Lepisosteus oculatus: one gene and its partner. The protein of the gene in region 2 binds, or shares a complex with, the protein of the main gene of each other region. Links are inferred from orthologs where the notes say so. Each region holds a gene or a part of one and is shown on either strand. Other genes may lie near its edges.

Region 1 (16,687 bases), on a different chromosome or scaffold from region 2:
GTTCTACTCTTTACTGGCGTCCAGTCTTTCTAATGATTCTCCAGCGGCGACTGGGCTGCGGGACAGCAGCAGATACTGTCCATGTCTTAGGATACTGAGTATTAACACTGAACTACACTACTTATCACCATACCAAGCAGTTCACATTACACAAACTCAACAGAAAAAAACCTCAATCCACAAGAGAGAGTAATGTTTAAAGTCACAACACGGGAATTATGGCTACCATCCGAAGAATTGAAAAACCAATACATATCATTTTAACTGTAAATAATAATAATAATAATAAACTTTATTTTATATAGCGCCTTTAAAGGTGGCTTCTCAAAGCGCTTTACAGGATGACAATAACAATAAATAAGAAGAATACAACAATAAATAAGAAAATTTCACAAGACAGGACACAATTATAATTACAACAATACAACAATAACAATAGAGGAGACCGTGGAAGATGGTATTAAGAAGAGCAGAGGGGTGAAGAATGGAAGCAGTTAAGTAAAGGCTTTTCTGAAAAGGAGGGTTTTGAGTCTGGATTTGAAGGAGTTTAGAGAAGGTGACTCTCTAATATCCTTGGGCAAGGAGTTCCAGAGCTTGGGGGCATAGCAGGAGAAGGCCCTGTCGCCCATACAATGTAGACGGGCTTGGGGGACTATCAACATATTCAGATTTCTATGTCCAGTTTTGCCAGTGTACAATGTCTGTTATGATGCCAAGTTTATAAATAATCAAACCAGGCTCTGTACAATCATACAGGGACACAGGTGTTGAGAATACAGAGAGAATGTGGGTAAACGTCACTGCACTCACTCCACACAGTCAGGGCACTATCACTGTGTTGTGTGTAAGCAGTGCGAGGTTCATGGAACCTGTCCAGTTTCGTGTCCACTGCTGCAGAGGTTTGCAAGACAGAGGCAGTCTGAGCTGTGAGACAAACAGGCAGTAGGCCGGTCATCTTCGTACACACAGGAAGAACACTGTGCCAGATGTTAACTGCACACTTACAGATAATTAGGAGTTAACTGGCCTAACACTGTTTGGGCAGGTGCAGCTGGAGTATTGGGACACTTTTCTCAGACCAGTTTACGACCCCTTGCATGTGTTCAAATCCTTGTAGCAACTTTCCAGATGCAAAATCGAAATAGTTCTGGCTACTGGTGAAATCTCCAAAGCATCAACTCAAATCAGCAAACTGGTACAGAGGTTCATTAGAAGATTTTGAAATGGCTTTCAAAGACGCAGGTCAGGCTGCCATCTTGGCTGATGCAGGACACAAATGTAATCGTTGATTTGATCCTGTACGCTGGCCTAGGTGAGATTACTAGACCGCATAGTCTAAGAAAGAAAAGAAAAGGAAAGAAAAGAAATCCCTACCTAGGCTTACAGTACTTGGAAGTCTAATGACTCAAAGTGTTGCGAGTTATTACTTCAGTATTTTGTGGAACTGAAGAAACAGTTCTTCCAGAAGACTGAACTATAGCCTCTGCACTGATGTTTGTGTGGTAGAGGTTAAACTTTTAAATGTTAAAATATGCTATTAGATATAGAAAGAAAAACTAGTCACTTCTACACACCCAGCAACATGTGGGATCCATAAAGCACAAGTTTCAGAAGCCATGATAGTGATCTTTTTAAAAACATTGAGCTAGAATAGAACAGTTTGCAACACTGTTGCCTTTTGTTTTTTCCAGATAACTCTCTGAACCAGGAAATGTTAAATAATTTTATTCTTTTGCTAATGTAGTAAGATTCGTGGATGAAGGAAAAAATAAGCAAACTCCTAAGGGTTTTATGGTTGTTTTTATAATTTAAGTCAGAAAACTCCCACATAATCATTTTATAGTGAGAGTCAAGATATTTCACCTGAAGGAAGGAGGATCATTTATCAAATAGCTTAACACTAAAGAGGTGTAATTACTGTTGCTAAACACAGAATATTTAAATTTAGTATAATTTCTTTGATAGCTCCAAATTATAATGGCTTGAAAGGCATTTTAAAACAAGCTTTTCTTTTTAAGATCTTGGAATGAGGAAATTACCGTATGTCTGCGAGTCCCAGTGTCTGGCAGAGCTCTTTTTTCAGCCTCTTCAGCTCAGCTCTTCGAGGAAGGCTGTCTTTCAGCTTCTTTGTTGCTGTTGCTTCATTGCTGCTCAACCATGAGCTGTTGTAGATGCAAAGCACAATCAAGTAATGAACTTCAACAGTTCAATTCCACCCAAAACATGCGAGCAGAAATCAACTAAACAAACTTTGACTCAAAAGAAAAATGAATCAAGGAATTCTCAGAACGATGGCCATGAAGGATGTCTTGCTAGAGCAATCCCCTGGTCAGGGGTGCAACGGAAGTGCCCCACCCATGCTTTGAAAGCATTTTGTGAAAAACCAACGTCAAGTGTTTTGGCATTGCATTGTTTCTACCATTGGAAGAACACAGACAAAACTTAGGTGGCCGGACATGATCTAAATCAATGACTAAACTGAACGGCTAACAGAGTCCCACTTTATTGTGTCATAATCTGTTTTGGGGGGTTGATATTAACTGAATAATGGTTCACTCAGTCAAATATATCTTACGGTATCCCTATCCCAGAGGTCTGAAGAGCACGGTACCTCAACGTAGGCTTTCCTGCTTTCCTGGCTCTGTCCAGCTGCTGCTCGGGATCCTGGGATCCTGTAAATGAATAGAAAGTCTTGTCCCACTTGATGGGTCTATAGAACGGAATTCCAGCTCCATACATCTGGGTGTCTGGGCAAACACCGGCTTTCACGTCCTGCATGTGCTCCGTGGACAAGCTGCAAGACCTCAGAACGTCCAACACCGCGCTCCGCATATCCCTCGACTGCAAGGTGAAGCTAACTGCTCGAAACCCTGTGAAAGAAAAGCGTTCGAGACCAAATGAACGTTCATCTCATTTTATTAAATGTACAAAAATATCCAGAAAAGGGTAAAATCCTGACTTTGAAAGCTAACGGCTTTAGAAACTTTGTCTTAATAATAAATTGCCTACATTTACTGCTTTGCAGGTTATCAGAGGTCTGTGCATCTGACTTAGCAAGCCAGCATGATGCACACAGTACATTGACAAACCAGCCCCGACAACCCCACTGCAGTATAAACCTTTCAATTTACAAAGTGACACCTGTTGTGTACATCATCATTTGTCAGAACTTGAGCATTCAGACAGATAATATAATATATGATATAGATATATGGTGTGTGGTACTCCAGAGTACCTGAATTAAGGATTTCATGTTGAGCAGCATCTTTTTCTGCTGTTGTGTCTCGAACATAAAATGTTAGTCGTGTTGGTTTGAGGGACTGGACACCTGGCTTCTGAAGATTTTCTAAATATCCATTTAGCCGCTTGAGTGAGTTTTCATTCACCTCCTGCGAGACAAGACACTCAAATTTCCAACACCACACAGTTACAACATATAATGCACTGTACTACCTTAAAAGGCAATTGAATATTGCAATAAAAAAAAATCAAGAAAATGAAAATGCTGAAAATGTAACTTTTCACAGAAAGCACACTCTGTTTCTGCTCACAATGCAAGCAGGCAGTTATTGCATCTTGAAGCAGGACATCACTAACACCCACAATGCAATCCTGTAATTAAGTCTCTCTCTGAAGTGGACTGCATTTAAATTGGCTTCCAGGAAACACAAAATTCTGAAATTTGTGTGCCGTCTTAAGATATTAAAGAGCTAAAACACGATGGTATATACTGTACCATAATTATATTTTTTTCCTGCAAATTTGGTGTTTGGTGTATCAAATTGTTTTGATACCTGAAGCCACAACAACACAACACAAAACAATTTTTCGTCTGAAGGAGCTGCTTACCCTCTCCCTTGGATACTGGCCAAAGAAATCTGGGTGCACTGCGAAGTAGAAGGGCCGGAGCGCGTTGACGGCTTCTGCCCCCGACAGGAGTCTTTTCTGCAGGAGCTGTGCAGCCACACGCCTGCTGCAGTCAGCTCTGTGGAAAAGGGAAACGCCCGTCACAAGACTCCAGAACAGGACAGGAAGAGCACCCGAGACCCTGCAAACACGTCTACTCCTTACTTCTCAAACACATGCTCCTCTTCATCCAGCTGTCAAGACCAGTGCAAAAAGAGCTAAACACTAATAAACACTAATAATAATAAGGCACAACAAACAGAACAGTATATAATGTGCACCTGTCATATCTATCCATCCGCTTGCCACATGATATTTGCAATAGTGACAAATAAATGCATGGGTAAAATGAATTATAATACTGCAAATATGAATACTTCAGATTGGTGTCAAACAGACCACAGGGCTCTGATGCACTTTATCATTCCTTTCTGTTTTCGTAGACACCCACAGAAACCATTTAATGCAATTTAATTAATTCAGAATTCTGCCACTAAAACCATTTTCAATTTAAACCATTTCACCTTAAAATGTAAATGATGGTGCCAGAAGGCAGATACCATATGACAGTGCAGATCAATGACCGCAATATTTTAGAAACGCCCTGTGTCCATCCAGCTGTGCAGACTCGTGTACTTGCACTGCTGCACTGTCTGAAGTGGAAGAGTTTGTTCACATCCAGCCTGGAAGATCAAAGTCTGAACTGTCACACAAAGCAGCAACAGAAAAGGGGGCTCACATTAACAGCTCTAGTAAAACGGTGCCTGTGGGATAAATATTGCAACCACGGCCCAGTGAGAACATTTTAGTCTCCATCGTAGAGTATCTGTGTTTTATTAAGAAATTCAGAAACTTTTAACGAGACAACAAGAACTGAAAAACAACATAAAAACATAAAATACCTAAAGACACACACAAAGAACAAACAGCTAAATCTTGGTTATGGCTTTTTGAAAAAAGTTTTCTTGCTGAGATAAGAGAGATTAAATCTAAGAGAGAAATGATCACAGACTGTTTAGATGTGTGAAACAGTCAGGGACCTGTCCCAGACTCAAGTCTTTTTCACAACATTCAGGAAAGGAACCCGTATCACTCCACAGTGCCTGATCTATATAAACAAATCTTCTCTGTAACAGCAGAGATCATCTCACTGAACCAGCTCTTTCCAATAACACATCTCCATTCTATAAGAATCATTTTTTTGGCCAGAACTATTCTGGACTCCAGCGCTGACTGTTCTTCCTTTGTTAGTCTGAGTGTTGCCCCTGAACCACCGAAGAGAACTAGCTCAGGGTCCAGGGGGAATATTCTTCCCAAAACAATTTCTCCCTAAAGCGTCTATTACACCTTGGGAGACGGCCAGAAGAGGTGTGGGGAGTGCCTTCAGAAGATCTGCAGCTGTCACATAAAGGAGAGACTGAAGGACGGCCTAATTTGTAAGTCTGTAGAGAATCACTTGACTTGCTCTTATAGCTACAAGGCACACGCAGGTAAAGTTTTAGACAGCATGCGCTCCTCCCACTGCTATGCCACAGCTCCACGGGCTTTACCAGCCCACAGGATAACTGCCTTCTTCAACACCTGATCTGGAGCACATTGAAAAGCCTGCAGCTGCCAGTTCCCCTCACAAATGCACTGTACTATGAACTGCAGAGTCACAGGAGAAGGAACTGTGCCAGCTGCCAGCTCAGGCTGGGCACAATTCAACCCATGTTAAATCAGTACAATGACTGCAAACAGTCAAACCCCAGGACAGAAATCTGGCTCGTCACCACCACAAGGAGCTATAACAAGGTTTACCACCTGGAAGCCAATACATATTTTAGGAACGACATTTAACAGGTTAAAGATAAACCTCTGGACTGGTATCTTAAGACTATAAAACATTTTACAATCGGAGGCAGCCATTTCACCACTCTTAACAGCTTGGATTGTGTGCGCTTGAAAGAAGACTGAAGAAAAAGCAAATTAACAAAAAAGAAGGTATATTTCTAAAGAGAGGATTGATGTGAAGTACCAGCCATGCCTTTTACATTTCACTGGAAAAAGGTTAATACAGTTTCAAGCAAATCAATAGTATGTTCTACTTTTTTAGTGCAGTTTGGTAAAATGTCAAGTGGCTCCATCGTTTGGCTGCCTGTTTAGGTCCATTCCTGCACTTCTGCATATACAGACACAACCTGCTTAATCTAAGGAGCAATCCAAAAGCATCTGTTAACTTCACGCCATGCAAATAAACGAGAATGCACTAAATATCCCATACAAGAGGCTAGCATGTACAGCGGTTATGCATAGTGTTACAGTATTCATACATACCTCGTCAGAAACCGCAGAAAGCAGGTTACAGACATCTCACTGGAAACCGTTCTTGAAATCCACAGGTGCAGAGATTTTTCTTAACCGGCAAAAAGAAATGGGCTTTTTTACGGAGTTAACTTATCGTATGAAGAGGATGCAACTGGTAATTTGGTAAAACGAGTTGTTTTCACAGAAGACATCTTTCATGAAGCGCTATGACACATCCAGAAAATGCGATTACGCAAAGGAAGAAAACACAATGCGAGATTCCCGAGATATTTGAGACGCATTATAAGGAGGAGCAGCTGTAACTGTAATCGCAATCGTTAAACCCTACCTGGCAATATGCGACACATTCACACAACGACACACGCAGTGCAAGGACAAGACCAGCGCGCCTGCAACACATCATCCGCTGAACACAAACACACCGACACCGAGGAGCTCTCAAGTCGGCAGAAACAAATCCAGCTGCGTTTCACGCGTTTTCGGTTTTCCTAACGGTACCTCTCCGGGTGCACATTCATCATCTAAAGCTGCGGAACTATATTTAACCCCAGAGCAGCAAGAGGACGAGGCTGTCACCCCCGCATCTCCATTTAAAAACAACGAGCGTCGTCAGACAGAAGCAGTCGCTCACCCATTCGCTCCCCTCAGACGTGACGCAGGACCGGCCGCAACCAGCGCCACCTTCGGGTGAACCGCGGTCACACAGAGGCGACTTGCGTCTCAAGGCAAGGTCCTTCATTACTACTGATTTTTTTCCCCCTCTCTCAGCAAGAAGCAGGTAACCATCGGTTATTTCGTATAAGATGTAATGTTAACATAACATTTAAAAACACTAGCCCAAATTGGGTTGTGAAATTCACGAGGCGTTACTATTTCACATGACAGAGTCGACCACCGTATTAAATCACTGATACGAGACTCCTGCTGTGCTTATTCAACTTCTTTATAACGGAAGCAGAATCATTTCACAGTAGCTGCCGAATGTATTTAAATGTAGTTTTTTAGTCCATTCGTTTTGGTTCACTAAGGACTGCCAACACCGAAAAGCTGATTGCTCACAAACCTTTTTATTTTCAGATGTACCTGTACAAAAAATATAAATCACATGCAACTCCCATTGTTAACTTATCTTAAATATTTAAGACTCAGCAAAACACAATTTATTTACAGAAAGAAACCCTATAACTAGAATTACATAAATTGAAGCATTTTCTTTCTTATTCCCTACACAAGTCAATGCAGTAGTGGTGCAACATATCACATTTTATGTAGAATGTAGCTTAATATGTGAAATTAATACTCAAGTTGGTTTCTGCTCATTTCAAGTTTCCGAAACATTGCAAAGTGAGTTAAATTGGCATAAACCAACTCTTCTGTCTGGCAGACCCTTCACAAGTGATCCAAAGCAGTCTAATAGATGCTCTTACCAAATGCAAGCGCCAGCTAAACAGGACTGTTAAAGTCAAGGGTCTTGTGCAACATCTATTTTCCAAGTAATTGCTCAGTTCCTTTAGAAACCTGAAGAACGTGTAAGTTAAAGAATACAGCTGTCCCCATCTACCAGTGGAATTGTACAGGTGTAAATCTTGGAAGGCTCATCAGTACACGTATACATAATTTTGGTAACAAATACAGAACACTGGCAATAAGAAGTACATTCTGGGCACAAAATGCCATGAATGATGTAAAAGATGCCTTTTATTCAATAACCTCCAGCAGATTCAATGATTCACAAGGAAAATCTGCTTAATAAAAGCAAACCTGGGTTCAGCTATTCTTCGTTACAGTTGCTATATTCAGTGCAAGCGTTTGTTTTAACTTAATATACCTGAGGAGGTTACTTCCTAAATGACCACAATGCAAAACAAAAACGATATTCTTCTCCAGATACTTTTGTAACATAAAAACCTATACAGTAAGCTGGAGAAGGTACCTCATTCCAGGTATCCAATTCACCAATTCACAGACATCACGTCGACCCATTTGGAAAAGGACCTAACTGTAAAACTGACAAGCAAGAGAGGGAAGAGAATCTCTTGAAATGCTGGAAACAAGGTGCTGTGAAGATGCACAAGCTTGAACGCCGTGATAAAACTCAACTTAAAATAAAGCAAATGTTTTGAGTATGATCTGAAAAACCTATCTTCATCTTTATTGTGCACCATACATTAATGATTAATGTACAACGTTGCAGCTCTTCTTTGACGGGCTCCTTGAAGACGTCAGGAAACCAGCCAGGCCTTCCCAGCCCACTCCATGTTCTGGCTCAGCCACTTCAGAGCCGACAGAGGGTCCAGCGTGAACACCTGCTCTCCGCAGACGTTGACGGTGGCATATTTAATCACCAGCTTCGGCCTGGTGATCTGGGCAGCCGACACGAGTCTGCTCACAGCTGCATGGTAGTCACATTCACTGATCGACCCATCTTCCTCTTTCCTGGGGAGAAAACGACTGCACTTCAATTAAAAGCGGACACGTTTAGCGAAGTCATGTTTAGCATTTCTGTCAATGTGCAGCGAAATGAATTTAAGTACTTATATAGAAATATTCATCAGCAAAGGCTGTGCACCCAATAGAAATGATCCCTAACTGGTTCACAAACTGACAGAACTGCACTTTTGAGTACAGTGTTCACTAAAGCCTAAGCAAGTGTGACTTCTTCATCTAAATAAACCTTACAAACATTAAAAATAGTTCAAATATCTTTATTGGGAGCATTCTGGATCGCTCCAAGAAAAAAAAAAGTAACCTACTAAGCAACATGAACGTATCCTCTCTCAGATTTGAATACATTCAATTTACAGAAGTTTGTAAATGGTCTGTATAAATGTGCTTTTAATTCAGAAAGCTACAAAACATACCTTTTCAGTACAATCTGTAGAGCGTGTGTACAAGTACTTGGATTCTGAATGCTGTTTGCATTTGAAACCATGAACATTTCAAAGGCCAGTGTCATCTCGATCTCGGTTAGGGAGCAGGGAACGGAGAGAAGCCTGCAGTACGTGTTTTCTTTGACAGGGGGGTAGCAGCCCAGATGCAGCGCACCTGAGGACACAGAAGAGCAGGCTAGGAACGAGGAAGGCTGTGCTGCTCACCGTGCCCGATGTCCTTATTGTGATCTATACACTGTCTTTAATCATTTAACAACCTTTTTTTATAACCATCTGCGATGCATTTTCACCATGCACCGATCTGGCTTAACAGATACATACATCCAGTTTTCAATTACAGTTCTGTGTATTTTACTGTATTCATGTTTTTGACAGTGCTCCACGGAATGTGTGAACAACTCTGTAAAATGTCTACGCCTTTAAAAGCTATTTTCCTAAAATCAAGTGCTTTACTATATTTGTAAACTTGTTTGTTAAATCTTACTTGCTCCTGTGCAAGCATCTGCCTACAACTTTATTTCCTATAAGAATAATCACTTCACTTTATTATATATTGTTTTTACAATACCTCATGGTTTTCTGAACCACATCCAAAATGTTAAGCAAGATGCACTGCATTAAGATCCAGAAGAAAACAACAATACCAATTCTTCAGTACATAACTGGATTCTGCTTGTAGAACAATTCTGGTAAACCAGGGATGGGCTCTGGTCGTAGAGGGCTAGGGTGTCTGAAGGTTTTTAATCCAAGTCAGCTCTCAAAGGAGAGCTCATTCAGTGGCTGAATAATTACCAACACAGTTCAAATCAGGTGCTTTGAAGGGACCTAGAAAACTTATAACCACACTAACTTCCCAGAACCAGGAATGTCCATTTTTGGGTTGCACAATGGAAAATATCCAGCAGTCTTAAGTTTATAGTTTACAGTGCTTGCTGAGTAAACCTCATACTGGTTCAAAATGGCATAAACATGTGAATTCAACTTCCTAAAAAAAGGTAGAGGAAGAAAAAGTGAGCACTTACATTTGTATAGGGATCTTGCCTTCACCCACAAAGACTGTCTTCCCAATCTGTCAATTAAGTTCCTGAGCAGGCCAAAGTTCACAGGTATCTTCTTGCACACCATGAAGTCCACAGCGTTGGACGACACTGTCAAATTGTGCTGCTCAATGCAACACTTTAAGAGTCTGTTGAAAACTGGAACACACTGGGAAACAGATGGTGCATCTGAAACTGAAAAAAAAAGACTTTCATGAACAGAGGACAGTAAGTCATGGCCCTGCCCTCCTTCAATGTATACCTTGGCTTTCAAGGATAAGCCAATGGCACCGAAAGAGGCTGGAAACTGTGCCGCCTAAAACTGGCAACTATGATTAAATGTTTATGAAAGACTCTCCACTTCTGTGGCACTACATGAGATGCAGGAGGATGTCCAACTGTAAAAGACACGGGACCCCTGAGATTCTCCCTTCATGGTCAGAACTTCATCAATAAGGCACTGTGCACATCTGATACCGACAGTCTGTCACCAGCCACATCTCTTCAACACACGACCTTGTACGCATTCACAAGGATAGACATCTATCGAGGGAGAGATGACATTTTAAGCTATGAAAAGTCCATTTCGAGCACCTTCAGATAAAAAAAAAAATCAGATTTTCACCGACAGACGGTTTTATCAAACATACAAGAAACCGTATTTCTACCCAACGCACACTGTCCCAAACTGACACTGGGAACACTGGAAAGCCGGCAGCCAGAACACACACAGCATCTGCATTCCCCGTCCCCGAGCAGGTGGAAGACAGCCAGCCCCCGGTGGAGACGGCCTCGCTCAGTCACGGCCGAGTCAAAGACAGCGCCCCCAGCAGGCGGCCGTGACCTGCGCCCTCCAGGTCAGGGGGCCCAACCCTGACAGGCAGGACTCACCGCTGTGGCTCCATTCCGTACCTGGGAAGTCCTGGAGCCCGGGGAGCTTCGTCAGGGCGTCCAGGGCGTCTCCGAGCAGGCCCTTCCCCGCCGCCTCGTCCGCCAGCCGGCACAGCAGACTGCTGCGGCTCCCGGCGTCCCCGGGGCTGCACGGCCACAGCGCGGAGCTGCTGACCCACTCGGACGCTGGGGGAGAGAAAACAGAACCGACATTTTCATTCACTCTGCGTTAGGAAAAGTACCTGAGGCCGTGGACTTGCGGAGCCCACCGATTCCAAAACGACCAAATCTGTTTTGTACACTTGGTCAGAAGAGTACAAATAGGGCCAACACACCCTGCCCCATCAAACCCCCTGGAGCGCATGGAATCAGTTAACAGGTCTAACGCACAATCGATCGGCCAGTTTCCTAAAGTGGACGTCCTTCAGAGCGACAGGTGATGCCAACTTCATTACACTGAAATCGGCAGCAGCCAGCACTAAATGGATGCATTTACTAAGAAAGCCAGCAGTTTATTTTACCCTCTTGTGCTGGTAAAAAAAAAAAAATCAAACCTGCTACCGGGAGTCAAGCGGATTCATCTGGGCTTCTAAACTGAAGGAATAAAAAAAAATCATTTGGCTTGAACATGTTCTTGTTTTGTTGTTTCAGCATCCACTTCCACACAACGAGAATACAGTGACACCAGAACACACACGGTTCGCCTCTCATGCAATGGTGAAAGAAGCAGCTTTAAAGACCCTGCTGTCCACAGAGCAGGGTCTCTACAGGCTCACACTTCCTGGAGCAGGCTGGCGGCCGCCCTGGTACTAACACGGCCCGGCTGGCTGTTTAGCATCCGAGATTTGACAAAATTGGCCTAGAAGGAGGTAGCATGGCTGCCAGAATTAGTCACGGTTAAAACATGAATGCATCAGCAGAAGCACCACCTTTCAATACGTTTATGGCGCCTTCCACACTCCCAGTGTTGAGGTAGATATCTGCTGCAACGTTCACAACCTGGCACAGGGACACGTGGCGCTCATGCCCCAGGAGTCCTTTGAGCGTAAAAAAGTTGATCTTCATTCCGTTTAAGGCTTCCAACAATTTCCGACCCTGTTGAACAGAGCATTACTGTTACCTGTCCTATTACAACAGTTCCTTCATCTCCAGGAAAAGAAAACTTCTCGGCGGGAAAGAAAATAAATCGGTACCAATCTCTCACGCCAAATCATGAAAGACAAATGTTCGCCAAAGACATTTTCTTAGAGACACCGAGTTCATTATAAACAAGAAACATAAACATGGATAAGTCAATATGTACTGTGTGTGATCCAATAAAGTTTTTAAAACTCCCCCTAAAAGACTGTCATCTTTACTGTTCACCAGCAGGAGAATATGAATAAAAAAAGTGCTCAAGTATGAAAACTGTTCACATGCCCAACTGAGCAGAAAAACTACTGTAGTTACACCTTCTAGTGCCTAATCTCTACTTGCCTAATCAAACAAAGGCCTACATGAAGTCAATCCTTCAATCCACTTGCCTGGCGGCACCTGATGGACACCAAGAGGCCCTTTCTGTGGCAGTGCTCTTACCACACTGCTTAGCCTACCTTTGTCCACTGCTGTGTTTTGTGGTACCCAAACATCACAGAAATTCCAATTCTTCCAAGCAAAGTTCTGCCCAGCTCATTTATTCGGCCTTCTTGACAAACTGGAAAGACCATTTTGAAAACAATTGATAAATTATTCCCTTTACGTAAAAACTCCTGTCGCTATAAAGAACAAGCGTGACATAACTGGTAAATAAAACAACAAACACGGTAACAAAAACTTTAAAAACGAAGTAACTGCTACTCAAAGTAGATTATACAGTATATACAGAGGAGAAACATTTTTACATAAATAAAGAAAACCAACACACCTGTCTCGACAAATTTACAGAAAGGAACCAGTGGAGTTCTCTCAAGGTCTTTCAAAAGTGCAGAAGCAACAGAAGCACAGAATCTGTTGAGATTGGCGAGACTCCCGCTGGTGCCGCACACGCTGTTGAAGACACTTCCCAGCGTAGCCCAGTCTTCCTGCTCTTTACATCGCTGAAGACAAAGAGAAATCAAAGACCAAAATTCAAGTCCATCCCCTGCGGCCTGGGTGCCCGTCGCTGACCGAGTGTGACACACCCTCCGGGCAGCGCTGAAGAAACACAGAGGCTGGGCATTAGCCAGGCAGCTTTCTCTTGCGACTCCTCAGCTCTCTAACGGGTGCCTTCGCTAGAGCAGGCTGGCTCGTCTCAGCTGCCGTTTCAACTCGGCCTTTTTTAGTTTTTTTGACATTCTTTTCCAGTCCCCTTTGTGCATTTCACCGAACGCATCACCATTTTCTTCGCTACATTTTTAGCATAGTGGAAACCTGCGCAACAGAAGACTTCAGACCCACGGAGACACAGTTTCACACTCAGAGAAGTTGAATATTTTTTCTTTATATGTAGTGCACTTGTATCTGATGTTTTAATACAAGCTGGTTTCATTACTTATTCCAAAAGCTTGATTTGCTCACATGCACAAAACCAAACCGGATGCAAGATGGGCGAAACGCAATGAGAGCAAATCAGTTCCAACTCATGAGAAAACTTGCCAAGTTCGCAGACCACACCCAGACAGAAGGATTAGCATAAAAAACGGAAATTCAAACAGATGTAGGTTCCGTACAATCTAAGACAGTAAATGCATGGCAGATGACCTCAAAACGCAGACAAGTGCAGAGTGCTATATGCACGTACCGAAAACAAACTTAAGATGCAAAAAGGGAAACACTGAGCATGAAAAGTATACTTACAAAAACAAACTTAGGCATTTATGTTGACGCATCATTTACGTCTTCTAGATACAGTAGGGAAGCAATAAAAAAAGGCAGACAAAGTGTTAGTGTATACCATTTAAAGCGTAGAATTTAACTCAAGTGATGTTATAATAAAACTGCATTACGCACTAAAAACACTTGATTGAGAACAGTGAGTTATGAGTCTGGCAAAGCTGTCAAAGTTACTGCTGCTCTGGAATCAATCTGATTGAAACGAAAGCCCCCACACTGGAAGGCTGAGCTGAAGCCACTGAAATCCTCCAGGCACGGCCCTCAGTCACCACAGCGAGACACAAGTCCCAGGGCACGCGTGGGAACCGTGAGGACGGTCACCGAAACCCCAGACCAGGAGGCCACATGCAGTGGGAGGAGGGAGCTGTGAGCTGTGGCAAGAGCCCGCTCAATTCCCCACCTCTGTGCTCTGGGCCTCCATCAGCTCCACTGGGAATTGACCAGTCCTCTCCAAACTTTCGCACCTTGGTTTCTGGTTTAGAACGTGGCTAATAGGCGCTTCCAGATGTTTGTCCACTACCTGTACTTTTCAATAAGCTGCATGAATCATTTCAGCCCAGTTGCCAAGTGATTTATAGTTATGACGCAGCTCTTCAGGGCAGTTAATGATTAAATGATGAATATTTACTTGGTTTTCCTATTTATATTTGTTTCATAAGATCTCAGTGCTTCTTTTGCGACTGCAGAGACACTCCAGTATAGACCAGCAAGTGCTTCTGGTGTTATTAGAGCTGCTTTTTCATGTTTGAGTAGCAATGGACAGAAAATGCCGATATTGGGTACTGCTCATCCACGATCGACCAAAAGGCTCAGCTTGAAACTCACTTGGGCCTTATTTTCTCAGTATTTATAAGCTGCTATGAAGTCGGGCTCCCGTAGATCATTTTACACTGCTGAAAATAATGATACACAAAATGTCCAGGCAGTGGCTAGAATCACATTTCCATTGTTAACTTTTTTTGGGGTACTTTTAAACGGCTTATGTTCAAATCTCAGGCAGCCTGGGAATGTTATATTATAGACAGGTGCACCAGGAAAGATAAGACAGAAATGTGGGTCTCGTGCCAACCAAGTGGGCCGCCTGGCCTGGAAAACTTTTTCAAAGTCTTCTAAGGAACTGCCACACCGATTAAACTGAAACTTGGCAGACTACTAACAGCTGAAGTTCTGAGATTTTCACACATGAAAAGTTGGTGCATTAATTTTTACGCCTCTAAAGCGCAATAAACCGTTCTGAGCAACACAGACCATCTTCCGCTGCTTGAAAATGACGACCAATTAACTCAAAACCTTAGAGGTACAATTCCAGCACCAGCAGGGAGGATATATTTGAAAACCGGTTCCTGTATAAATCAAGCCGATAGTGCTGCTGCTGCCGCCTCTCCCACCATTGCCAGTACAGTCTGTGACATTAACCCCTGCTGTTTAATACTGCTCGACCAGTTAACTCCAAATCTGGCGTCTTCCTAGCTTGTACACCATTAACACTCAAAGACACCATTTTGTGTTGCCAGCTACAATAACAATTTAATGAAAACCTGCTAGACTGTATGTACAGCTCAAGCTGCCTCTGACCTGCACCTCAAAAGCTGCTTCAACCACATTTGTCCTCCTGCGCTCCTGCTCAAAGATGGCTCGGTCAATCAACTCAAACATACAAGGCATCATCCTAGAGGATCTAACACATGGGAATGGGGCTGTTGCTTAAGCTCAGAAGGTTGACAAGAGTAAGATAATGTTTTGGCAAACTCCAAACTACAGGCGTCACAGGAAAAGCCGCACCTGTTGACTTGAAATTTGGCCAATTTCAGACAAAATGTTACTAAAATATTAACTCCTTGCATTTGTGTAGTAAATTTATCCAAAAGGCAAAAAGGACAAGGAAGCAGTTTAAACATAGCAGGGGTCTATGTTTAGCACAGTACCCACCTGAACAAGGCCTGTCAGCCAGTTTGAACAGCAGCTCCACTGCACAGCAGACAACACAGAGAAGTGTGGACAGATTTTGGGATTGCATAGTTACATTTAGTCAAGACACCAGAGTAACACCCTTACATAATGGTTTTAGGATTATTATAGTTGTTAATAATTACGAAAGTGATTCATTTGTACATCTAAGTTGGATTCAGCCTAAAAAATCTGAACTATCTGGAAGATCACAAAGAAACATTTCTGTTTAATTGCAGTACAGCTGTGTACAGTGCTGGTGTACAACTTCAACACTCTTTCAGCGTTAAAGAATTAGACCGATATTAACCAGTTAGTTTGAACACTATTGGTTTGAGAACTGATGCACTGCAATTGGAAGATGTTGGTGAGCTAGCCGTTTTAGTTAGTGGCGAACAAATTATATCATATTTTACATCGTCAGTAATATGAGTAATATGACATCTTCAATGCTTGGAAAATACAATCTACATACAATTAAATCAATTTCATCATCTCCATTACCACAAATAAACAAGCGCAGTGAAACAAAGCAGCATTTTCAACAATCTGGAAACACATGCTCTCTGTGATGCACACTATGTACATCTGTTTTAAAACTTTGGTAAGAAAACTAAAATTAAATGCAGTCAGAACAAAAAAAAAAGTCCTCCAGTAACGCAGAAATCACAATTTTGGGGCAGCTTGTACAGACATTGAACAGTGTGAAGATCTGTCCTTCAGTGTCCACTGTACCTTAGAAGCTTACCTCTAATTCAGCGATAGCCTCATCGATGTCAAACTGCTCTCCTTCTTCCTCTTCTTCCTTCAGCGCCCTGCAAAATACACGATCACAACTTCGCAAAAAGTACCGGCAGA
Region 2 (15,542 bases):
TTGTGTGAAAGCCTGCTCTATTTTTCTCCCTACATGGCCTCTACACCGCTCACCTGTAACACAAACGCTCAGAGAAGCATGAGCTCCGTTGCACATCTCCCCCACGACCCCCACCCAGCTCCATCTCCAGGATGGAGTTACAGCTTAACGCAAGGCAACGCGCTAAAGCTAGGGCATCAACAGGACCATGGCCAAAACACAGAACACCTGCAAAGCCAGGAACCATCTGCAGACGAAGGCCATTCTGCAGCTGTTCAACCATGACCTCCACTAGGTCAGGGAGGCTGGTGGGGTGAGTTGTTTCTCTGTCAAATAACAACCGCAGCCATTTTCCCTCCCCTGGAAAACTCACAGTAGCAGCAGGGAGACGGGGCTTTCTTCTCCCTAGCCAACATCACCAGGAGTGCTCCCTGGCCACCACTGCCCTTATATCCCATGGACCTGCATTCAGCGGGGATTTTTGTATGAAGTAGAATCGTGGCGGGTAGGTGCATTCTTCATGGCCAACCATTCAATCTAGACCACTCCTCCCACCCCTACCCAGCAACCCACATCCCCTCCAAGATGTGTAAACCGTAAACTTTCCCTTATTGGGGAAAGGGAAAGCCATTAAGTTTACCCCCGTTTTGTCTTTTTCCCCCCCTCATTTTTAATTCACCAACACTATAGCTTCAACCACCAGGAAGCTGTTCGAAGTAGTGACCTAGTAACCTACTCAACCCTGCCAGGCTGATCCTGTCTGGGCAGGGTTATTACTCAAGAACCCAGACTAGCACCCATGCCACCATCTACTGCGTCTGCTAGGATTCCATTCTGCCCAACCTAGTGGGCTCAGACACCACTCCCAGCCTCCATTCTAACCTCAGGCAAGACTACCCTCTTGCTACCCTCAACCCTTTGGAGTGAGCACACCGTACTCTGCCCTGCTGTCATTTCCTTTCATAACCCTTGGAGTAAACCCACTCCTCAGAGAGTGCAACCACGAGCCAAACTGTACTTTTTCCTCTCTTGCACCTTTCCTACCCACCCATGTCCACCATCTTGCCGTCTAAATACCCTGCAGCTGAGAGACGGGTCTTTATGGCTGCTTACTTTGCTAGTGCCTGCACGCAGTGTGGATTTTGAAGGTGGTGAGGCATCATTAGGCAGAGCCAGTCCATTCAGGAGACGTGCTACTCCTCCTAAACAAGCACTTTAACATCCAGTCCAGGGAGCCGTCCTCTTTGATTGAGCCCTTTTCCATAACAATTCTTTCAGTCTTAGACTTGAGGTGAGGATGCAATCTCTTTTCCCCCAGGAAAAGGACCAAGTTCTTTCCCAAAGACTAAATATGGTACTTCCCCAGTCCTTTAGGGCTAAAGGGTAAAACTCTCAAGACCTTACGGTACTCTTCCCCATTGAGCACTTAAGACGGGACATCTTAATCCTTTGGATCTGGGGACCAGGGCAGCCTCCCCTGCTCCACCTTCCTCCAGAAGTCTTCAGACTGCACAGGACGACCTTGCTTATAGGTTTGTAGTCTTCTCCGAGACCCTTCTGCCTCCTTGTGCTGGGTCAATAGGGTTTCCCCAGGGAAAATGGTGAAGGGCTAATAATGACTTTCACTTCCTACAGCCCGATTTCCTGCTGTGCATCCATGGGAAGACCTCCCGAAGCTCCTCCATCTGTCACTGCCGTGGCAGCTGTTGCACACTGCCCTTCTCAGTCTGAGGAGAACTCGCTTCCTCTTGGCATCTTTTTCCACAGACAGAGTTTTCCAGCAAAAGATTAGGAGTGTAGACAAACGTTCAGTTGTTAGAGTTCTTCTTTCTGGAGTAGTTTGTTACTCTGGCTGGTCTGTAACTGGGCTTCTGTAAAGAGAATTGTGTCCTCCACCTCTCCTCTCCGCAAGGGCCTGCTTGAGTTGGGAACACCTCTACGGACTACTTCACTGCAGTGCAAGAGACTCTGGACTAGAGATCTAGGAGGATGGCCATTACCTACTGGGCCTCCTCTACTACCGCCTGGAGGCTCATGGTATAGCTGGGTCTGCAGCTCGCTGTTTTCTTGTGTCAGGTGGTTCTGAAATGGGCATTCACTCATCAGTGTCTCAGATGACCACACTGACTCTTCTTCTGCTCTTCATTAGGCTGTAGGACCTCATTCTTCTCCCTCAGGTCACAGGTCAATGCAATGGACTTTTGCTGCAGTTTTCCCAGTTCAGCATCTTGCTGGCTCCTCTGCTTGGGGTTCTGGAGAGTTTCTCGAAGCCCGACAGTCTTCCATGGAAAAGCCTGACGGCTATGACTGAAAGTCTGGCCATGCGTTTGTCCTTTTCTGGAACCAAAGGGTCCCAGTCACATGTTCCTGGCAGCTGGAACAACTGCAGGTCTGTGGAACTGTGAGCCCCCCTCCAAGGTCACATGATCTCCTCTTCAGGAGAGTTTCTGGACCAGGCTTCAGCTCTCTTCTCCCAAGTCAAGCTCATCTCACTTGAGCACACCAGACTGCAGCCTGCGTTCCTCCGCGTCTCCTGGTGACCAGTCTTATGTTCTTTCTTCTTCATCTCCGAGGTGCTGGCCTCTTCCGAAGAGGGAGCTGTAGAGTGTTCTGGCCTTGCCGCAGGCTCTTACCGGAGCAGAAAGACATGCCTCCTGTGGTCTGCGGGGCTGGGACCTGTTCATGCTTCTCACAGCTGCCGGTCCAGGGAGGGGGCGAGGGGGGTGGGCTCTACACCAGTCACACCATCTCCTGGCGGGCCCAGCTGATGGTCTTAGCTACCGCCAGCTCCTCTCAAGCACTGCCAGAGGAGCCTGACCCATTTCACTCTGTTACAGAGTCTTCTTTTCCCAACTCTTGTCTAGCTACTAAATCATCTTCCATTGTTTTAATTGCATTCTCAGGGAAGGAGAATAATTTCCTCCCCCTTTGTTTGGGTGAAAAAAAAATCGAGATGAGAGACGACTTGCATCGGTTTTCGTCTTTTTTGGGGGGGATTGCAATACTTGTATTGACCGCTAGGGCTGGTTCTTCTTAACCTGGTAGCGTGGTTTCGGACGTTCAACACCCGTGAACCACCTGTGAACCACCTGTGATAGGGCGCCTGAAACCCTATTTTCAGTCGACAGGAGAGCCGTTCTGTTTCTCCGCCCCCTCAAACCTACGGATATGTTTATTCTTTTTGTTTTCAGTCAAACACTGTACACTGGTCTCGCCTTTTCGGAAGCCTTTTAAAGAGAAGACTGCTCTACTTCAGCTGCAGCAGGTTCCGCTCCCGTAGCCTCGTGCGAATGCAAAGTCTGCGCTTGTTGATGCCCCGCGTGGGGCCTTCCACGCCGTACACCTGTAGCGGGGAAACCGCTGCTCCACTAAATCAAATCAAAATTCTTCAGTCAATCGTCTATTTTTAAAAGGGTCAAAATACAGTTTACGATCACGAAGCCATGACCACTCGCAAGACTGTTGTTACTTGGTTTGAAATTCAGCGCAGTCCATCACTTTTCAACACCTCGGTTATGGGTTACAGTTATTTCGCTCTTGAATTCTCTTGTTTTTTCAGTCTGAAACTCCAGACAAACCTGTACGTGAGCTGCCGGGTGTCCGAAGAAAACAGTATACGTTTGCTTTTAATCCTGCTGAATTTCCTTTGTAAATAAGACCTGCGGTCTACGTACACGTACGCTAGATGGCGCAATCCAATGCTGTCAAATTTTCGATTAAAAAGTGAAGAATAATGGCTGATAGAACAGTAATTATTTTCGTTTGTTGTTAAGAGCTTGCGTGTGATTGAAAATGCCATGTTTATTTAAACATGATATGTGGAAGGCACAGTTTTTACAATGCAGTTGCACCTTGGTAAAAACAAAAGTTTAAAACAGTTTATTCCTTATCTCCATCGGGGTCCAAATTTTCGATTCTGTTTTCTCTTCAGGGTAGATCTAATGTGTTTTATAATCTTTTATCTCGATTGACCTGGTTTAGAGGACAAACAGCATTGTGGCTTGAAAACTAAATTATTCCAAGGACACTAAAACTAAAGACAAGGGTGTGGCACGTTTGTAATAAATGGTGCAGATTTAATCTTAATCCCGGGCCCTTTATCGCAGCAGGAGGCGCCCACGATGCGACACTAGGACACTCCAGCACTTCCACGCAGCTTGTGCGGTAGTGGCCGGCAGGCGCTCAGGTGTCGCTTGAAGGCCAGTGCAGCCCTGGTCCTCGCCCAGTGCCCCTAGCAGCGCCGCCGGAAGACGACAGGACCTTAACATCCGTGTAGCATGATTCGCTCTTCCCGTCACAGTCCCACTGCAGGGTCCCGCAGCGAGGGTGGGGGGGAGCTGGCGGGGGAACCACACCGCCCTTCCGAAACAAGAAAGGGAGGGGCAGCAGCTGGGGGGGAGGGGCTTACCCGGACTCGCTCGGGGTTCTCGTCGCTCCTCCAGCCCAGGGTCAAGCCGCCTGCCCCGCGGAGAGGTGGTCCTGCGTCCGCTCAGCTCTTCGGCTCTGTACGACGCTGCTCTCTCTCTCTCCTCCTGCTGCCTGACAACACCGAGCTGACGACTCTTTGTAGTATTCCTTCTGCCTTTCTTCCCCCCCTTGTCCTTCTTTTCAAAGTATAGTTTCTCCGCAGTTTAAAACCTTCTTTTCTTTTCTTTTTTGTTTCTGTCAGTTCTGGTTTCTATGAAGATATTAAACTACTCTATTTCTCGGATGATTATTCTGATGATTACTGTTCTCCGATGTGCTCTATGTGTTCTCTGACTTAAGGAAATGTGTTAAAATGTTATCAATAAAAGCAACAACTTCAATATAAGCCCTCCCTTCTCTCTCTCTCTCTTTCTCCTTGCTGTTGTCGTTTCCTCTGTCTGAAAAACATTGAAAATGCCAGAAGGACTGTAGCTGATCCAGTGGATCCTGGCTTAAACTAATTAAAATGTCTTTTTATCGTTGGCTAGCATGGCTGCCTTGTAGCACCTGGAGTACTGTCTGTGAGGAGTTTGTATGTTTTTCCCAGGTCCACATGGGTTTCCTCTGGGTGCTCCAGTTTCCTCCTACAGTTCAAAGACATACTGGGTGAGTTGGCATCTGGGAAAATTGGCCCTGGTGCGAGTCTGTGTGCCCGGTGATGGAGTGCCGTCCTGTCTTGTCCAGGGTGTCCTTGTGCCTGTTTCTTGTTGGGATAGGCACTCCCCCACAACCCTTAATTAAATAAAGAATTTAAAAAGGGATGGGTGGATGGAATAGCCAGATTCTTTAGCTGCCACTGAGCAAAAGCTGATAAAACGAGGAAGTTATAGTGTTCCGGGCAAGGTGATGACACCCTGTGGTGACCGGTGTCTCCTGCAGTCTGTCCGGCGGACGAAGAGTTCCCTTTCCTCATTGCCAGCTGCTGTCTCGCTGATTTCTGGCAGAGAGGAGGAATGCACTTGCACCAGCTGACAGGGCAGAAACCTCTCGTGACGTGGAAATGACGGCTCTCGTATCGACGCACCTGCGGACGTGATCCCCCTCTGACCCCTCCACCTGGCCACAGATGCGCCCCCCCCCCGGCACCCCTTCGGCGCCCCGCTGTGCTGATGCTGCAAGGCTGGTGTGAGCAGAGTCCAGCTCCTCCTTGCACAACAAAGGACAAAGTCTCTCCTCCTGACCCCCCCCCGCCCCCCCCCACCAGCACTCACTATCACAGGCGAAGTGATAACAGCGAGATCACGCACACCCCCGGAGGCACATGTACACAACACCCGCACGCAGCCTCTCACATCGACAGATGGACTGTGCTCCCACACCCAAAGACAGCTATACAGACACAGGTGAGACAGACACACAGCATGTTTCTGCACCAGGCAGCAGGCCTGCACGGACGCAGATGGACTGTGCTCCCACACCAGCTATACAGATGCAGGTGAGACAGACATACAGCATGTTTCTGTACCAGGCAGCAGGCCTGCACAGAGACTTCAGAATCACACTGGCACAGCGCTTTCTGAGACTGGTGCAGCTTGCACTGGGGGAAGGGCCTCTCTGACTCACCCCTCAACTTAAGCATCCTTTACAAACAGAGGGTGACTAAGAAAGCCAAAAGCATCAGGGAGTGTGTGTCTCACCCCCTCCATTGTGAATTCACACTTCTCCCATCTGGGAAATGCCTCTGTGCCCCCCAGGTATAAAACCAACAGACTCAGGAAATCTTTCGTCCCCACTGCAATCACTCTTGAACAATGCAAAGTCACTACCTTGTCTCTTGTTTCTTTTCTCCTGTAACACTTCTGTATTCTCTTCCCTTTTGATGATGTGCATTTGTCATTGTGTTGTGTTTGTGTCGTGAAACTAATTTCCCCTAGGGGACAATAAAGCTTGAATTGAAAAAGATAAAGCTTGAATTGACAGCGTTTCACGCAGTGGTGTTTGGGGTGGGGGTGGACAGAGTTTTCACTTCTCACACAGCTGTAAAACTGACCACCACTCTTTGGCCTCAGGAAGGGCAGCAGCGGCCTCTCTGCTGAGGTGGGAGAGGAGCACAGCTGGTCAGGAGCAGGCACGCCTCATGCGGACTGTAACCAGGGTGAGAAACCACCCTTGGCCTACTCCCACCAAGCCCTTCATTACATCAGCAGGGATGACTGTCCAAAGGCTGCTCTAGAGTTTCCCATTCACATCCCATCCTGTCACCTAGCAGCGGCAGATTTCTGGTCTCTAGGGGCCAAGACCACAGCAACACACAGGTGAACTCATCTTAAAGAGGTTAGGGAGGCTCCCCACTCACACACAGCACGGTGTGACAAAACCTTTAGCAACGCACATTCCCAATGCTCGGGGCCTGGATTTAACACCGAGCGTAACCCAACTAGTAAACACCGGACCTCGTGAAATCAGGACGCTTCCTCCCGTCAGGACTTTAAGTAGCAAACTTCTTCCTAAAGAGTTTATTTTGTCTACGTGTAATTCACAATGTAAAAAGCTGAGGAATAAAACGGTTGCTTCTTTTTTATATTTATTTAGCAAAAAATATTTTTTCCTAACGGGCACTACAATACGCTTAACAAACGGCGAGCTCGTCCTTTCAGCTAAGGTTACGTCTCCCAGCGTGAGGGTGCGGCACGCCAAAATTCCTGTTCGTGACGTCAGAGCGCGGTGACGCAGAAGGCCTGGACTCGGAGTAGTCTTGCTCCGCGCGCTGTCATTTCCAGTCTGGAGAATCGGAGGGCAGTGCGGCTGTGAGGTGCCGAGCCGCTAGTTAACTAATATTCGCCGAAATACTTACAGACTTTCACCCGCTAACCGACTAAAGGAGAACAAAACGTAAGTCCTCTGCATTATTTCTAGATAGGTTGCATTTAGAAAAAGAACGGCGCGACTAAAAACCGGGGGAATGAAGCACATCTCTGTGACGGCATAGAGAAGTAACTTAGGATCTTTTAGTAATAGGTAGCGATGGGAGCAGACCTTCTGTAGTACCTGTCTGAACTCCCGGGCAGGCCTTGGGAATGCCAGGCTGTAGTTTCTTTCCCCTGCAGGAAAGGTGGCTGAAATATTCTAGCAAAATTGTTTCTGTAACCCGGTACGCAAGGAAAGGACACAGTGATGGACAGTAGCGACGACCCAATCGCACCGCCGCGGTGTAGGCGGGCTGCTGCTAACGCAGCCAATCAGCGTAGCTTTTAGCAAGGATGGAGGCGGGACTGAGCCGGGCGGGACTGGGCTTGGTTGAGTTTAAGGAGAGAAAGTGCAGTATAGCGAGGACGCAAGGTCAGGACATAAGCGTAGTCCGCTAGTGGGACAAACAAGACGCGGGGGGGACATAGGCTCTCTGGGAACTTCACTGGAGGTTCAGCGCAGAACTGTGACCGGGTCCCCGTGCTGCAGAAAGCTGCCTAGTTGTTAAAGGAGGGCTGTTTTGCTGCACTCACTGCGGCTACGGGTTGCCATGAAAAGAGACCCGCGCATACACACACAACGCGCGTGTGTGTGCGCACATTGTGTGCGTTCCTGGAAGCATGAGGCGAGATAACACTTTTTTTTTTTTACAGCCCCGCACAGTACTCTAGTCTTTCTTTTTAATGCTGACTTCAGCAATCAATACATAATGAGGAATGCATAAATTACTCCAACGCTTAGAAATAAACGAGCAAAAGGGCAAAGTTCTATGTGCTGGGACCTACCCCAACCACCATCGCCTCTTCTTGGGTCTGTGCTGAACAGGGCTCTTTTGAGTTGTCTGTTATTCAGCCACAAACGCTGTTCAGCTCAAACAGAACAGAAGATACATGGCTGTAGAAGCAGCAAGGGCTTGAAAAGCAGATAACATGTAAAAAATGAAGTATCTCTTGCATTTCACAATTAAAAGTGTGCAGTTCGCATATAGGTGATCTTTTATATAAGATCTTTTCTTGGCCATTTACATGTGGAGCTTGCACTCCTTTTGTATCTCTTTTCACAGTACACCATCTTCACAGTAAAATTAGAAACGGATAGAAATACATCTCAGGGCTTAAAGGTGCTGATGGACTTGGAGATCAGTCCACACAGTCCTGGGGCTACCCAGCAGGATGCGAAGCCTGTGACTTGTTCAGAGCCCTGCTTGAGTGATGCAGGGACTTGCACAAGAATGTCGACAGGAGCCCATTCTTCTTCTGTAATTGGAGAAGGAAAAAAAATCATAACGTACCTCTGTGAAAGCATTCCAATAACCTTAGGAAGGAGGCATGTCATCCTTTCACAACAGGCCTGCTAGCGTTGTTTGCAGTCGCAATCTGTTTGCTGCGTTGTTGCTTGGTGTCCACTCTCTCTGGGTCCTGGATCATTCCTTCTGCTTGTGTTCTCACCTTGTGCGGCGCATAGGCGCGGGCCTTATTTTTTCATTTCATGCTGTTCGGCTTGGTGCACACGGCACAATCTTCACCGTGAAGTTTTAGATGTAACGTAGAGGAACGAGTGAGTTTCACAGACACGGGTGTCTGTGATGAGCCGCATCAGTGCTGTGCTGCTCGTGAGTGGTGAGTGCCGATGATTCATAGTAGCTTCAGCGTGATGTACAGCACTGAGTGGATGAGGTCTGTATGTGTGCACTGGACGAGGAGCTTAGTCACCTCACGTTTATCTCAATACAAATGGAATGGAGGGCAGCATGGTAGTTAACTGGGTCCTGGCTTCGATTCCAGCCTGGGTCTGTTTCTGTGAGAAGCTTGGAATGTGGGAGGGAATCGCAGCACTTGGTAAAAACAATTGCTGACTAGGTATAGCGGGCCCGGTGACGGACCTGTGTCCCATCCACAGTATCCCAACCACTGGGAGAGAGGCTCCAGGATGCATATCAGCAATCCGCAGTTTTCCGATAACGGATCGATGGAGTTAGACTTCACGGCAGTTGCTGTAGCAAGACGAGGGAGAGCCACAGTAATTGCTGATGTGGTACATTGTGCAGGAAAGCACATGACTGCATACGGAGCACAGGAGCAGTCCTGAAGATGGGGGAGCCATCAGCTTGAGTTCTGTTGTTACTGTTGTATCCTCAAACATGCCACTGTGTGCCCTGTAGTCTGGTTTGCCTGACACTTCCCTGATCTGAACCTGAGTGGATCTTCATTTTCCTGCCCAGAAACACCAGCCAGCATCAGCTTCCTCTTGTCCCATGGCGAGCTCTGCCCGAGACTCCATCTTTAACCTTCTTCCTCCATAGAAATTTGAGTCCTATGATGACAGTCTGTGGGACTTTCTTCTCTTTCATGTTTCAAGCAGTTGCCCTTTGCCCCCCCCCCAGACAAGGCTGAACAAACAAATGTTTTAATTGTCTTTTTGGTTTGTTTAAGAGGAAGGGTCCCGAGAAGAATTCAGGTTACATTGTCTTGGATTATGAATTAGCTGCACATGGAACACTTAATCCTGTTTTTACCCCTTTGGATGGAACAGGTGATGCTCATCTGATTAGATTTCTTACTGGACAAACCAAAGTCAGACTTTTCCGATTTGACTTGCAGACATGGAGTTTGGACCTTCCGTGAATTCTCCTCCCACATATCCTTCTTTTTTTTTACTGCCCGTGTATATTTCTGGATCCCAATATGTGCAGTTTTTAAAACTGAAACTTTGAATCTCTTTTCTGGCTCTGTGAGAATCCTGACTGGGGCAAGCTGCCAGACAGCTCACGTGTTCCTGAGCCACAGTTAATGAATATTTGGAGTTGCAGGTCTTGACTGTGGTAGGCAGAGCCCGCACAGGACCCACATTACTGACTGTACATGTCTGCTCCGATGATCTGTCTTCCTGCTCAGTAGAGAAAAAATCTACTGTGTGGATTTCAACTTTGCAAGCTGAAGGCACACTTCCTCTTGCCAAATAGGCCTTAGCCATTGGCAGCTGAAGCTGAGTTCTCGGTGTGACCACAGGCTGACCTGGGGACACGCCTGAGATAAGCTCGAAAGCTTGCATGAACCTGCGTTGTCAAACAAGTGATAAAAGTCAGGCTTTGCATGTTGCAGGTTCCAGAAGCGATGCGACAGAGCGTTAGGTGTTATTAAGAGGAGAGCCGTAGCCCTGGAGCTCAGCTCACGCCCTGGCCCGCCCTGTGAGGGTGTTGGGTAAGAAGCAGAGGGTCCCCACGTGACCTCGTGCTGCCCCTCGGGACGTGAACTGAACAAATCAGGTTTGGTTCTCAGGTTCTTCTAGACCTCGGGCCTCAGCCTGCGTCCCCAGGACAAGGGGGGGTTACTTGACAAGGAGCCCCTGAGAGCTCAAGTGATAGAGGAGTCTCTGACACAAGGGCCTTGACAGAGGCCCATTCAGGTGACTGGTGACTGCAGGGCGTTTCCTTCCCTAGACTGCAGACGGAAACAGCTTTGCCAAATAAGGAAACCCACTGTCACCGTTTTCTCCGCTGGATACCTAAATGAAGTAATCAGGGTTGAGGTTTAGGGAAGGAATTTGACATGGGAGGGTACAGCAAAGTTGTTTTACTCGCAGTGTATTTCACCTTTTCCTTTTATGTTACATTTTTCACCTCTTACAAATATACAGATTCCACAGTGGATTACAGTGTATGTGCCATCGTGTTTTTTATATATCCAACACCTCTACTTCTCTCTACAGCTGTTGTCTCAGTTACAGCGAAAACTCCTCTGACAGCAGAGTCATTCTTCAGTTCTTCTGTGATTTGGCAGGCCTTTGTCAGGTTGTTAAGGCTACTCTCGCCTCTCTCAAAATGTCTCTGGGGGTCAGTGTAAAGAAAAACACCTTCCGTCTCCATACTGCATGTCTGTGCATTGTGGTGGCCTGGGGGTTTTAGGTAGGTAGGGTACACGTCTTGCACAGAAGCAACTGAGGCCTGTAGGCTAAATTGAAGTAGACACTAGGGCTGTCTCTCTGCAGTGTTTGGCGATCAGACCTGGCTATAGTTGTGGTTCTGGGAATGTTTGGCCTGCTTTCTGTAAATAGAAATTCCTTGAACATTAAAGATGATCTGTCTTCTGCGGGACTCGGGTCTTGTAGTACAACACATGTTGTTGCTTTAAGTAGCACTTTTCTGTGTGCACTAGAGCATTTCGATGCTGTGCTGTGTTATTAATGACACAGTTAAAAGTTCAGATATTATATAATGCTGCTTTGGGTCACATTAGGGTGGCTCGAGGACTACACTGTGGTCCGGTTCTGCTTTTCAGACCAGTGAAGTCGTATTTATATTTAGCTTTGGGGCTTTCGGCTTCTAATGTTTGTCAATGAGATTAACGTAACAAAAATGTTAACATCCGGCATAGAAAGGGCAAGGTTTATTCCACAAAAGCTAGACTGGGGAATGGTGTCCTCCTCATCACGTGCTGAGTGACTGTCACCATTGTTTTTCCTAAACTGCGTCCAGAAAACATTCCGACACTTAGAATACTGGTTATTCTGCTTTCCTTTCTTTAGGGAAATGTGCATTTTTCCATTGTGACTCACTGTTGTGTAAAGCAGCTTTCAAGAATCTGTTGTTTTTTTTTTTTTCATGCCCATTCGACAACAGCCACAGTGACCTGAGAATTCACGATCGCTGTAACGCTGTCGTCTTTCCTCCCGTTGTTTCCCGGTGCCTCTGCAGAGACAGGGCGTGGGGATCCGCGAGGACGACGCCGGGGACGCGCAGAGGAGAGTTCCAGGGAACAGCAATCCCAGCGAGAGAGAGAGAGAGAGAAAGAGGGCGACAGCGAGACGGGAAAAAGAGAGATTTTCAGTAGCGGGTGGCCGGCGGAGCCGTGCGTTTTAAGGGACTGCAATGCACCGGTTAAGGACTTGTGCTGCCAAGCTGAGGCCTCTCACGGCCTCTCAGACTGCTCAGAACTTCTCACACAAAAGGCCGGCGGCCCCGAGGACGTTTCAGCCAATCAGGTGCTACACTGCGCCTGTGGCCGCCGAGCCCTTCCTCAGCGGGACTAGCTCAAACTATGTGGAGGAGATGTACTATGCATGGCTGGAGAACCCCAAGAGCGTACATAAGGTAAGGCGCCGAGGATGATCGGGCTAACGAGCCCCGGGGGAGGGGGAGGACAGGCGCCCTGCGTTCGGAGGGCTCTGTCTCTTTGTGTCTGTAAATTTAACGGAGGAGGAGATCTGTCGGGAGAAGAGGAAGGAGGCGCCGCGAGGCGAGAGAAGGAAAGGAGTCTTCCCCAGAGGACCTGCTGCGTGGGTTCGCTGTTCGACGTCCAGCGCACTTCTGGGATTTCCACTTTGCAGTTGCCAGAGTGCCTTTGACTATTTAAAGGTGCTGCAGCAGGTTTTGAAAGCTGGATGAGTGATGGTGGTGGGGGGGGGTAGTGTTGTGTGGTCTAAAACAGATGCGATCTTCAGCAGCCCCTGGGAGCCCATGAGTGGGCTGCTTTTGATGTTAACTAATCTTCTAATTATGCAGTCGACTTGGAAAAAATAAATCTATTGTTTTAGGAGCTGCGAAAAGCTAAGACGTAGAGACCTATAAAATGCTGGTGGGATGCAGACCTCCCTGAATGCTAAAGTCTGCTGCCTCTGCGTGTTGAGGGAATGAGCTGTGTTGAACTGTACACTTCTCCTTTGCTTTTGCTGTGGTTTGCCTTTACGAGGTTTATTTCCCAGTAAACTGACCTTGACTTACAGTGCTTTTTTAAATGTGGCACGTCCTTTCCTGCCTTTACCCAAGACGTGCTTAACTAGAGAAGAATTAGTCAGTGTCTACACATGCAGCGAGCACAGAACTCTGGTTTGCGTTAAGACTTGGTTGTGAAGCCCTGTGTCAGGTATATTGAAGAACTATCCCTACAGTGTTCTCTTATCTTTCCTTTTACCATGTGTGTGTGTGCGCACGTACTTTTCAAACAAAACTTTATTTGTACTGTAGATTTTGGAAACGCATAGCAACCATCATTCCCGGTCAGATACAATCACATTTCAACTGGGACTTTTTTTAAAGTTGCACTGCCACCTGTTAGGGAAGGTCAGATAATGGCAATCTGTGCAGTGTATAAATGGACATGGGAGCACTATTGAACAATGTCAATATAAAGGCTATCCGTTGTGCTATTTTTAAGGCTTTAGTCTGCGCTGCGTACTTACACTTTTTTGAGAAATTGTAGAATCTTTTAATGGAGTAGAAAAAATAGTTGGTGACCTAATCTGGCCTTTCCCCAGCAGTCTAAGTTTGCGATTATACTTGGGGAGCAACTTGAAACTCTGCTGCACACTTCATCGTTCATGTGCTCAGTGTCAATAAGGACACCCCGTTTAATCAAGCAAAAGTATTTCATCCTAATAAAGGTATGATTCATCATTCAATTTTAATAGCAGAGCTGCACATCGCTGTAAACGCTGGCCCAGATCCACCCTGCAGGAGTGGTGATTTGACAAGCTACTGACCCCTAAAGATCTTTGAGCCAAAGGTTGAGAATCGGCATGCGAAACTCGAAACGGCCTGAGATTTATGATAAATGAGAGCTTTTGTGTCCCGTTTAAATCAACACTGACTCCAAAAAGAATGTAAATAAGACGCTGATTTAATTCATAATCATAATTGCTTACACTTATATAGCGCTTTTCTGGACACTCCACTCAAAGCGCTTCACAGGTAATGGGGACTCCCCTCCACCACCATCAATGTGCAGCCCCACCTGGATGATGCAACAGCAGCCATAGTGCGCCAGAACACTCACCACACATCAGCTATCAGTGGGGAGGAGAGCAGAGTAATGAAGCCAATTCATAGATGGGGATTATAAGGAGACCATGATTGGTAAGGGCCAATAAAAAATTTGGCTAGGACGCTGGGGTTACACCCCTACTCTTTTCGAGAAGCACCCTGGGATTTTTAATGACTACAGAGTCAGGATCTCAGTTTTACATCTCATCCGAAGGACGGCGCCTGTTTACAGTATAGTGTCCCCATCACTATACTGGGGCATTAGGACCCACATGGACCGCAGGGTGAGCGCCCCCTGCTGGCCCCACTAACGCCTCTTCCAGCAGCAACCATAGTTTTTCCCAGGAGGTCTCCCATCCAGGTACTGACCAGGCTCAAACCTGCTTAGTTTTAATGGGTTGCCAGTTGTGAGTTGCAGAGAGATATGACTGCTATGAATTGCTTAAATTGCAACCTGGACAGTTAAGAGGTATTTCAGTATGGGAGATGAGAAACCCCACTGATGTTCAAGCTCAGTCGGAGCATCAATCATGGAGTAAATCTTGTCTGTGCTTTATGTGGGAGGAGGTGGTAAATTATTATTATGATGATGATGTTTGGTTTCAAGGAGAGCACAAAAAAGTTCTGCTGTTCACAGCATTTTGAGGTGTATGAATTAAATACAAATCCATGGAGGTATTATAGGTTTGACATCCAGCTGCAGCCAGTGTCCCCCAAATGTCAGAATCACTTAACCCATGTAAAGGTCAAAGTTCGTTTTCTATAAACTGTTGCAGTTGCAGGTTAAATGGAAAAGTTCTCTCTTCTGACTGTGACGAACCGTTGGATACCAAACCGTTTTTTTTGTTCACCAATCAGTGTATTTTGTAAGCAGCATGTGGACAGTTCATCACTGCAGATACCTGCTTCAATCTGTAAAACTGCAAATGCACGACATCTAGCTAGGGCAGAAGAAAATCAGATTCTGGCTTGTAAGGTGGGCGAAGACCAGAGGAGCCAGCAAAAACCACCACAAACACACCAAGCATAGAAGACTTGTTGGTTGTTAAAACACTATTATGGAGAGCAACAGTGCAGAGTAAGCTCGTTATCCTGTTTTCTCAGAAACCTCACCTTCTATGTTATAGGGAGGGATACAAGTCGTGGACGACCGGATAGCCCTTTTCTTTTCCTGGAGCTTTCTCCCGCAGTCCTCCAGAGTCCTGCCACATTAGAAACACAAGGCCTTGACGTGTGGAACGTACACGCGTGCTACAGCACGGAGCACCACCCAAAGCCGCCACACGTGTGCCCAGCCAGCTGGAGCTGGTGCAGCTCGGCAGAGGCCTGATGCAGCCACTCGCCATGAGGGGTCGAGTGTTTGATTGTCGGAAGAGACTGGATGTTTTCCAGTCTGTGTGGTGGTGCCCATTTCATGAACAGTACAGCTCAT

What was found.
Region 1: the proteins of ogdhb (region 2) and tcaim are in contact, whole or in part, in a cryo-EM structure (PDB 8I0K), measured with the Homo sapiens proteins. The link is inferred for Lepisosteus oculatus from reciprocal best matches to the Homo sapiens genes OGDH and TCAIM. Residues at the interface, in NP_001425937.1 of Homo sapiens: Gly301, Tyr304, Arg323, Tyr354, Arg356, Ile358, Arg364, Asn365, Lys387, Glu391, Tyr394, Cys395, Gly396, Thr398, Glu399, Lys401, Lys402, Lys561, Met602, Pro605, Glu667, Gly668, Ile669, Asn709, Met734, Ala735, Ser736, Pro737, Asn738, Gln772; in NP_001269842.1 of Homo sapiens: Glu214, Gln234, Arg235, Ser236, Trp237, Gly238, His241, Ser244, His247, Ser248, Arg251, Gln255, Asp272, Arg273, Thr286, Met287, Asp288, Val289, His290, His291, Glu331, Leu332, Gln333, Pro334, Val335, Arg375, Tyr376, Glu441, Ser443, His473.

The regions. Positions count from the first base shown.
Region 1 is NC_090705.1:42,754,606-42,771,292, forward strand, and holds the start of tcaim (T-cell activation inhibitor, mitochondrial), read right to left. Parts: upstream 6,799-16,687; 5' UTR 6,728-6,798; coding exon of another isoform or gene 6,712-6,727; 5' UTR 6,561-6,711; coding exon 6,542-6,560; intron 6,302-6,541; coding exon 6,223-6,301; intron 3,986-6,222; coding exon 3,850-3,985; intron 3,390-3,849; coding exon 3,236-3,389; intron 2,871-3,235; coding exon 2,612-2,870; intron 2,163-2,611; coding exon 2,040-2,162; intron 1-2,039. Other genes in the region: protein TOPAZ1, read right to left, coding at 8,436-8,664, 9,075-9,258, 10,127-10,336, 11,054-11,218, 11,962-12,127, 12,625-12,725, 12,936-13,107, 16,578-16,644. UniProt on the Homo sapiens protein: May regulate T-cell apoptosis.
Region 2 is NC_090697.1:69,251,130-69,266,671, forward strand, and holds the start of ogdhb (2-oxoglutarate dehydrogenase complex component E1), read left to right. Parts: upstream 1-7,117; 5' UTR 7,118-7,278; intron 7,279-12,046; 5' UTR 12,047-12,220; coding exon 12,221-12,442; intron 12,443-15,542. UniProt on the Homo sapiens protein: 2-oxoglutarate dehydrogenase (E1o) component of the 2-oxoglutarate dehydrogenase complex (OGDHC). Participates in the first step, rate limiting for the overall conversion of 2-oxoglutarate to succinyl-CoA and CO(2) catalyzed by the whole OGDHC.